2 linked regions of the Saccharomyces cerevisiae S288C genome follow. Each later gene encodes a partner of the first gene's protein in a complex. Each region holds a gene or a part of one and is shown on either strand. Other genes may lie near its edges. A codon is read from its position in the direction of its gene.

Evidence for each region.
Region 2: the proteins of SEC4 (region 1) and SEC2 are in contact, whole or in part, in a crystal structure (PDB 2EQB), measured with the Saccharomyces cerevisiae proteins. Residues at the interface, in NP_116650.1 of Saccharomyces cerevisiae: Lys22 (codon at 1,311), Lys44 (codon at 1,245), Phe45 (codon at 1,242), Asn46 (codon at 1,239), Pro47 (codon at 1,236), Phe49 (codon at 1,230), Ile53 (codon at 1,218), Ile55 (codon at 1,212), Asp56 (codon at 1,209), Phe57 (codon at 1,206), Trp74 (codon at 1,155), Thr84 (codon at 1,125), Ile85 (codon at 1,122), Ala88 (codon at 1,113), Tyr89 (codon at 1,110), Arg91 (codon at 1,104), Gly92 (codon at 1,101); in NP_014127.1 of Saccharomyces cerevisiae: Asp95 (codon at 1,960), Asn98 (codon at 1,969), Lys99 (codon at 1,972), Val101 (codon at 1,978), Glu102 (codon at 1,981), Asp103 (codon at 1,984), Thr105 (codon at 1,990), Ala106 (codon at 1,993), Phe109 (codon at 2,002), Asp110 (codon at 2,005), Ala112 (codon at 2,011), Asn113 (codon at 2,014), Val116 (codon at 2,023), Ala117 (codon at 2,026), Arg120 (codon at 2,035), Lys121 (codon at 2,038), Tyr124 (codon at 2,047).

The regions. Positions count from the first base shown.
Region 1 is NC_001138.5:128,293-131,707, reverse strand, and holds SEC4 (Rab family GTPase SEC4), read right to left. Parts: upstream 1,375-3,415; coding exon 727-1,374; downstream 1-726. Other genes in the region: proteasome activator BLM10, read right to left, coding at 1,798-3,415. UniProt on the Saccharomyces cerevisiae protein: Involved in exocytosis. Maybe by regulating the binding and fusion of secretory vesicles with the cell surface. The GTP-bound form of SEC4 may interact with an effector, thereby stimulating its activity and leading to exocytotic fusion.
Region 2 is NC_001146.8:126,061-130,761, reverse strand, and holds SEC2 (guanine nucleotide exchange factor SEC2), read left to right. Parts: upstream 1-1,677; coding exon 1,678-3,957; downstream 3,958-4,701. Other genes in the region: formin BNI1, read left to right, coding at 1-1,240; TOF1 (Tof1p), read right to left, coding at 4,163-4,701. UniProt on the Saccharomyces cerevisiae protein: Guanine nucleotide exchange factor for SEC4, catalyzing the dissociation of GDP from SEC4 and also potently promoting binding of GTP. Activation of SEC4 by SEC2 is needed for the directed transport of vesicles to sites of exocytosis.

The sequences.
Region 1 (3,415 bases):
GTAATTCGCTTCCGATAGAAAAGATAAGACGAAGAGAGCCTGCCTTTTTTGAGGTCATAATAGGATGGAAAAAAGTTGGCAAGAAGAAAGAAATGACTCTTAATGGGTAAGATACCAATTGCTTAAACACTCCATAAAGCGAATTTCGCAGTCAGTATCTTTCTGGAAGTGCTATACCGCAGTGCGGATTCATTTCCAAGCAGCACGTGGGTTTTTTTTTCGAATTGAGTGATTATGCAACCATACAGGAACCTTACATAAGCGCAAGTAGTTGAATAGTGGATTCAAGAAGCAAAACTTTACTACCGGTAAAAACATTAGAACGAAATAAAAGTGCTGAATCTTAAAAGTAAAATATATACTTGGATAAGAATTCCCAGGGAAACTGGGAACCTCGTTTTCCTGTTGCACTATTTTTTAGATTCTTTCTTGATTTTTTACCAATCGCCTGATGAAAATACCTTCCAGAGCAGAGAACAACAGTAGAAGTATGCTGAAAAAGTTAGTGTGAGAAGTTTGAATTGTTTAGATAATATAAAAGTGACATCTAATATGACTAATATAAAAATAGTAAGTATGGTAATCAAAAAAAGATACAAACAATGTATATATATAAAGGAAAAATAACCTGCGAATATTGAGAAAAAGGGAAAAAAGAATCAAGCGATTTATAGCTCTAATTCCAGTTCACGATTAATTCTCAAAGAAGCAAAAATCTTCTTTTCTTCAACAGCAATTTGATTTAGAACTGTTTCCGCTCCCACTATTGATGCTAATATTGCCCTCTTTACCGTTACCGACGCCAACAAGCTTGTTACTGTCGATTTTTTCTTGGATTAACTTCGCCAAGGTGAAAAAAATCTCGTTGACATTGTCATCGTTCTTAGCACTGGACTCGATGAATGGTATACCCAGCTCCTTAGCCAAGGCTTCACCTTGATCAGCTGTTACCACTCTCGTCTCCATATCGCTCTTGTTACCAACCAACAGTAGCTGTGCTTCATCGTTCGCATGCTCATTAACGGTTTTAAACCATTGCTTGATATTAGTAAATGTTCTCTCGTCTGTCACATCATATACAAGAATGATACCCATAGCACCACGATAATACGCTGTGGTGATTGTCCGGAAACGTTCTTGACCAGCGGTATCCCAAAGTTGCAGCTTTACCTTCTTACCGTTGATATCGACAGTCTTTATTTTGAAATCAATACCAATGGTGGTGATAAATGACGGGTTAAATTTGTCTTCAACAAAACGAACCAATAAACATGATTTCCCAACACCAGAATCACCAATCAATAAAATTTTCATAATAGAGTCATAGCTCTTTCCATTACCGGATGAAGCAGAAACAGTTCTCAAGCCTGACATGTTTATCTTGTTATGTTTATATTCTTTCTGGTGAACGATACGCCCTCGTGTATATACAGTATGTCTACTTTTTCTCCTTTTCTTATTCTTCCAAAAAAAAAAGTTCCTAGTTTATTTTCTTGGAATTGCAATAGGTTGGAATAATGGATCACTAAAAGACAAGCTATAGTGGGTAATTCAAGTTTCCAGCTTCCCTAGAGGTAGAATGCTTTGTTTGGTATAACGTTTCCCTGCCGTTGATCATTCTCAGTGGTGAACTTCCAGTTTTCCTCAAAATTGATTTATTACCCGGCACGCAGCCGTGATCATAGTTACACTAACAACTTACTTTTAGAGTAAAACTAATCAGCAGATAGCTCCAGCTATTTGTTTAGATGTACATATATGTCTAGATATGTGCTTAATATCCTATACTAATATGAATCAGGCATAGTAACTTCTCCATAGGACACCCTCCAGGTCTTCCAGTTCCTCCGTATTGAAAGATGCTCTATCGAACTTCCAAGTGTCGGCCCTCACCTTCTTGAACTCACTAATAGTATTTTTGGCAGCTTGTCCAGTCATACCACTAGTCCTGGCCCACGAGGATAAGTTGCTTAGTTGCTTGGGTATCCATGGCGGTAGGGGAAAAACATAGGGGAACGCTGATATAATAGCTCCCAAACCCAAAACGTTACCATGAATCTTGATATCCGTTTTGGATAACTTTTGTCTTTCTTTCGACGTGTATTTGTTGACGTCGAGACCCTTTGCAAATCTCTCGATTAAACTCAACAACGGCTGTTCCTCTTTCCAGTTATGGACGATATCAGACAAAATGGATGCCGCACGAACTCTCACCTCTACAAACTGTTCGTTATACAAATTGCTGACAACAAATTCCAAAATTTTGTTCTTTTCTTCCTCAGTAAGTTGAAGCAGTTCCGCTGATAAAAAGTGTTGGATGAAAGCTAGCTGTAGTTTCGTTTGGTTTGAAGATAGTGCTACATTTGACGAACAAACATAGTCAACAATGGCGGCAACATGGTTCTTTCTGATCGGCATATAGCCCAAGCCGGCATACAATCGAACAGGATCTAAACTGGCAAGAGCACAAACATCTTTATGTTTCACTAATCCGATCAGAAATGGTAAAACATAATCGACTAAATATGGAACTAACAAAACTTTATTAGGCCCTCTCGCCATTTCTTTGATCCAATAAAATATTGTGGATGTCCTGTAAAAATAGTCTGTCTTAATAAATTGTTGAGGATTCAGGCCGACAACGGAATCTTCCAGATTTTTAATGATCTCAAACTGCTTCTTAATATAGGCATCCACCTTTTCTGGGACGCTTTTTAATGGTAACCCTAATCCATCTGGATCATTCCGTTCTGCTTCTAATAATGTGGTTGGATCTGAAATTGACGGATTACTTTGATTTTGAACTAAGGTCGTCAATAGTTTAGCGACAGCCTGGCGAACCTGATCGTATGGGTGATCAAATACCAACTCATCAAATAGCTTACCAACATCTGGGGCTCTAAATTCCATGCTCATCAAGATACTTCTTAGCATGTAAATTTTGGAGGTTTGATGTGTGGCTGCATCAGATTCACGGTCAAACATGCCATCGGCGTTGATAAAATGGCAAAAAAAAGTTTTAGACCTTCTTAAATCAACGACTGCAGGCAACCACCATGCCAAGGTGCTCCAAATTTCAAATGCGTCATGGTTCAACTCATAATCTAAACATTTGGCTAGGAAGTTTTCGATAAAAGTGTCACGTTTGTCCAAGTCAGAGACTGACATAAACTTACTCCCGCAAACTAAGCCAGCCACTATCTCGACAGACATGATCATCGAAGCCTTATCGTCTTTGTTATAGTAGGATTCACATAGCTCAAAGAGATCCGACATATTCAGTTCGCAGAAACCAGATGATATCAAAAGGATTACTAAAGAGAAAAATGACACGTTACCACTACTAAAAACACCCCTAGTTTCATTATCTTGGACTAAATTCATTGTAACATCTCTCAGGAATTCTCTTGTCAAT
Region 2 (4,701 bases), on another chromosome or scaffold:
ATATAATGAGTTATTGGCAAAGTTAAGAAAAGTCGACAAAGCTGTTAGCGCGCTTCAAGAATCAGATAACTTGCGCAATGTCTTTAATGTTATCTTAGCAGTTGGTAATTTCATGAACGACACTTCTAAGCAGGCACAAGGTTTCAAACTTTCAACCTTGCAGAGGTTGACGTTTATCAAGGATACTACCAATAGCATGACCTTTCTAAATTACGTCGAAAAAATTGTCAGGTTAAATTATCCAAGCTTCAATGACTTTCTAAGTGAATTAGAACCTGTATTGGATGTCGTGAAAGTTTCCATTGAGCAGTTAGTTAACGACTGTAAGGACTTTAGCCAATCGATTGTAAACGTAGAGCGTTCAGTTGAAATTGGTAATTTAAGCGATTCCTCAAAGTTTCATCCATTAGATAAAGTTTTGATAAAAACATTGCCCGTGTTACCGGAAGCCAGAAAAAAGGGGGACTTGTTAGAAGACGAAGTTAAGCTGACTATCATGGAATTTGAAAGTCTGATGCATACGTACGGTGAAGATTCTGGTGATAAGTTTGCAAAAATCTCATTCTTTAAGAAATTTGCAGATTTTATAAATGAATACAAAAAAGCTCAAGCGCAAAATCTAGCCGCGGAAGAAGAAGAAAGACTTTATATAAAGCATAAGAAAATAGTGGAAGAACAGCAAAAAAGGGCACAAGAAAAGGAAAAACAAAAAGAGAACAGCAATTCGCCTTCATCTGAAGGAAATGAAGAGGATGAAGCAGAAGATAGGCGCGCTGTTATGGATAAACTATTAGAACAGTTGAAAAATGCAGGTCCTGCTAAAAGTGACCCATCTTCCGCCAGAAAGAGAGCCCTAGTGAGGAAAAAATATCTTTCTGAAAAAGACAACGCTCCACAATTACTCAACGATTTGGATACTGAAGAAGGGTCTATTCTTTATTCTCCAGAAGCTATGGACCCTACTGCCGATACAGTGATTCACGCTGAATCACCCACTCCGCTTGCCACAAGGGGTGTTATGAATACCTCTGAAGATTTACCATCGCCATCCAAGACATCTGCGCTGGAAGATCAAGAGGAAATTAGTGACAGAGCTAGAATGTTATTAAAGGAGCTAAGAGGCTCTGACACACCAGTAAAGCAAAATTCCATACTCGATGAACATCTAGAAAAATTGAGGGCCCGCAAGGAAAGATCCATAGGTGAGGCTAGCACAGGTAACAGGCTAAGTTTCAAATAAAATATTAAACCAAAAAATTATGACAACAGTAATACCAAAACAAACATCCAAACAAGCACTAGTACAAAGAAATAGTCACGAATCATTAAATCACATATATATATATAATTTTAATGTTTATAGATCACTTATGATACACTTTACATTCATCTTTACTCAAATGATCTCTACTATTGCATTTTTGAAATAATTCCTTTTATTATGTGCCATTGTTTCCATGTGACTACCCGGAACTTGTATTTCGCGTTCGCTGAAGCACCTTTAAAACATGGCTCTCGTTTACCTAAGTGACAAGCACAGTGATTCGTGCAATAATATCATTTGTCACTTGCAGCTGTAGCAACGTTGATTTCCATCCAAAAGTTGTAGAAAATTTTGACCTTTAGTTCACTGGGATATATTTTCCTTTACTAGCTGTGTTTGATAAAGGTTTCAATATGGATGCTTCTGAGGAAGCAAAAAGAGTATCAATACAGGTTACATCCCTGTCTACGCAATTGATCGAGAGCGTGGATAAACAGTCACACTTAGAAGAACAGCTTAATAAATCCTTAAAAACAATAGCCAGCCAGAAGGCAGCAATTGAAAACTATAATCAGTTGAAAGAAGATTACAACACTTTAAAAAGAGAATTGTCAGACAGAGATGACGAAGTGAAAAGATTGCGTGAAGATATAGCCAAAGAAAATGAGCTTCGAACTAAAGCTGAAGAGGAAGCGGATAAACTAAATAAAGAAGTTGAGGATCTGACTGCTTCCCTCTTTGATGAGGCTAATAATATGGTTGCTGATGCTAGAAAGGAGAAATATGCTATCGAAATCTTAAATAAGAGACTCACTGAACAACTGCGTGAAAAGGACACATTACTGGATACTTTGACCCTACAGCTCAAGAATCTGAAAAAAGTGATGCATAGTTTAGATAATGAAAGCACAGTCACAAATAATTCGAACAGATATTCCACAATATTGAGTGATTCAGCAACTTCTTCTAGCACTTCTTTGAATAAAGTTCCAACTTCATATTCTCTTGCTTCCCAAGATATTTATAGCGGAATTGTGTACTCGCCAAGCATTTCATCTATTCGTTATGATATAAGCCTTTACAATGAATTTCTAAAATTTGTCGCTGCACTACCCCGTTGTGAAAACATAAAGGCAACTTCAACCGAATCAAAGTTAATACGAAGATTGGTAAATGATGAAATCCAGCCTATACTTAAGATTGATAATGCTTCAGGCATCGGCTGGTTGGTTAAAAAAACCCTACTTTCCTTGATTATAGATGGTTTGGTGGTCGTGGAACCCCTAAGCGGCGTTAATGCAACCTACCAAATTGGCTACAACTCAAGTAGCCCTGCAAAGCAAGCCACTTCGAATATGCCAAAAATGTTCAAGTTTCCCTTAGATTCACCTCCAGTTGCAGTGCACGCCGCATGTTCCTTTTGTGGAGAATCTAGAGATGACATTATCGAACACGCAAGGATGTATATATTGAAAACGTTGCACAAGACTGACGACGGTAAAGAACAAGTTACGAATACGTATCCCTTGTGTCATTGGTGTTTGCTAAAGTTGCGGCAGACATGTGAAATCTTTGCTTTCCTGAGATCATTGAAGGTAGGCGCATGGCATTTAGAAAAGCTAACGACGCAGAACATTACCAAGGAAGATTTGGAAAAATTCTCTGAAGTAACGAAGCATACCAAAAGAGACGGCAGGGTTTCTTCTCAAGACAAAAAAACCAAACGTTTAAGTTTTATGGCAGGACTTGGTATCAATTCTTCAACAAAAAATAAGCCAAAGATGGAGATTTTTTCTTCTGAAACAAATGCAAAGCCAGGACAACCTACCACTAATATTCAAAGAGCATGGCTGCAATTGTGTAAATTGCGTTGTATACTTCATTGGACTCATATTGGCATATGGGCAGTGGATGATTCAATTTCTTCAAAAATTGGACCGTTAGTTGAGGATGACAGCGATGAGGATCAAAACGATGCTATATCGGTTCGCTTGCAGGACAAAGCTCTTTGGAAGCAGGACGCAAAAAGACCTTTTTCTTCATCTAGCGCAGAAGAAAGTCAAAAGAGCGACGCTTTTGACTTTGAAAGTGGAGATATGGAAAATGAAATTACGGGTGAATCTTCAAGTGATGAATCCTCTTCAGATGGGTCTTCCACAGATAATTCAACCGCAGATAGTTCATCAGAAGATGAATCTTCTCTAGCAGATTCTACTACAAGTAGCGCAGATTCTAGTTCACCAGAGAGTATAGACAACGGTGAAGGTGATGACACGGTAACGAAAGATGACAAAAGTAGCATTAAGTCGGCAAATAATAATGAAGAAAACAGCGATTGCGGAGATAAAAAAGGTCGTTCTATAATAAAGAAAAAGGCTCCTCAACGCAAGATACAAAAGAAGAAGTTACTCCAAGATTTGGATGATTTAGAAGAGCAATTTAGAGAAGAAAGCGCAATTGATCAGACTGAATTTGAAAACGCTGAGTCTAATGTAAAACAAAATATATCCTCGAAGAGGGCATCTTCTGGAGACGAGAACTCTAAGAAGGATAATAATGAAAAAACTTTAAAGACAAACTTGACGATAGGCGACAAAACCCAAGAACAAATAGGGGAAAATAGTCCTAGTAGCGGATTGCATGCGTCTTCAAGCAATGATGACAATTTCGATGATGCCCAGGAACAGCAATAAATTATATAATATTTAATTTTATGTGTCCTAATGGACATTTGAGTTCCTTAAGATGTTCAACAACTTAGAAAAATATAGGTAATGATAAAGAATGAATCGCATGTATTGTTTTAATATTATGTCAATACTTTGAACTTAAAAACAGAGTAAAGAAGTGGTTCTAAAATTACACGTATTAAAGGGATTAATTACTACATATTCATTCTCAATCATCACTATCACCTTGGCTCAAAACAACTCTAGACTTTTTGCCAAAAAGGCGGATGGCCTCTTCATCTTCATCGCTTTCATCGGCTGCACTCGCTTCCAAAGAACGCTTTGTAGATTCTTTTCTGCTATACACCTCAGATTGGAACATATTTTGCGAATTTGATGGCTGTGATGAGCCCAAACTATTTCTTGATTCCGAGTTGACATCGTCATCAGAGAGTTGATTATTATTGTTATTATTTACATCGAAAATAGACATTTCAGATGCCACGTGGCTTGCTAAAGAAATGAGGCTTTTATCTGGCGCAAAGGAACTACTTTCTGTAGCTCTTATGCTTTCAATACTTGGTATGGATCCACCAAACAAGCTCGTATAATCTCCTGTCACAACACCCCCATTATTCATCCTTTCCGCGGCAAATTTGGCAAACTGGATATATCTATCCTCGGTCAACTGACCATTGTTTTTATCTAGTAACCATCTCATATATGTTTCGTTTTCAAAAAATATAGGGTTCATCAAATCCTCGTCAT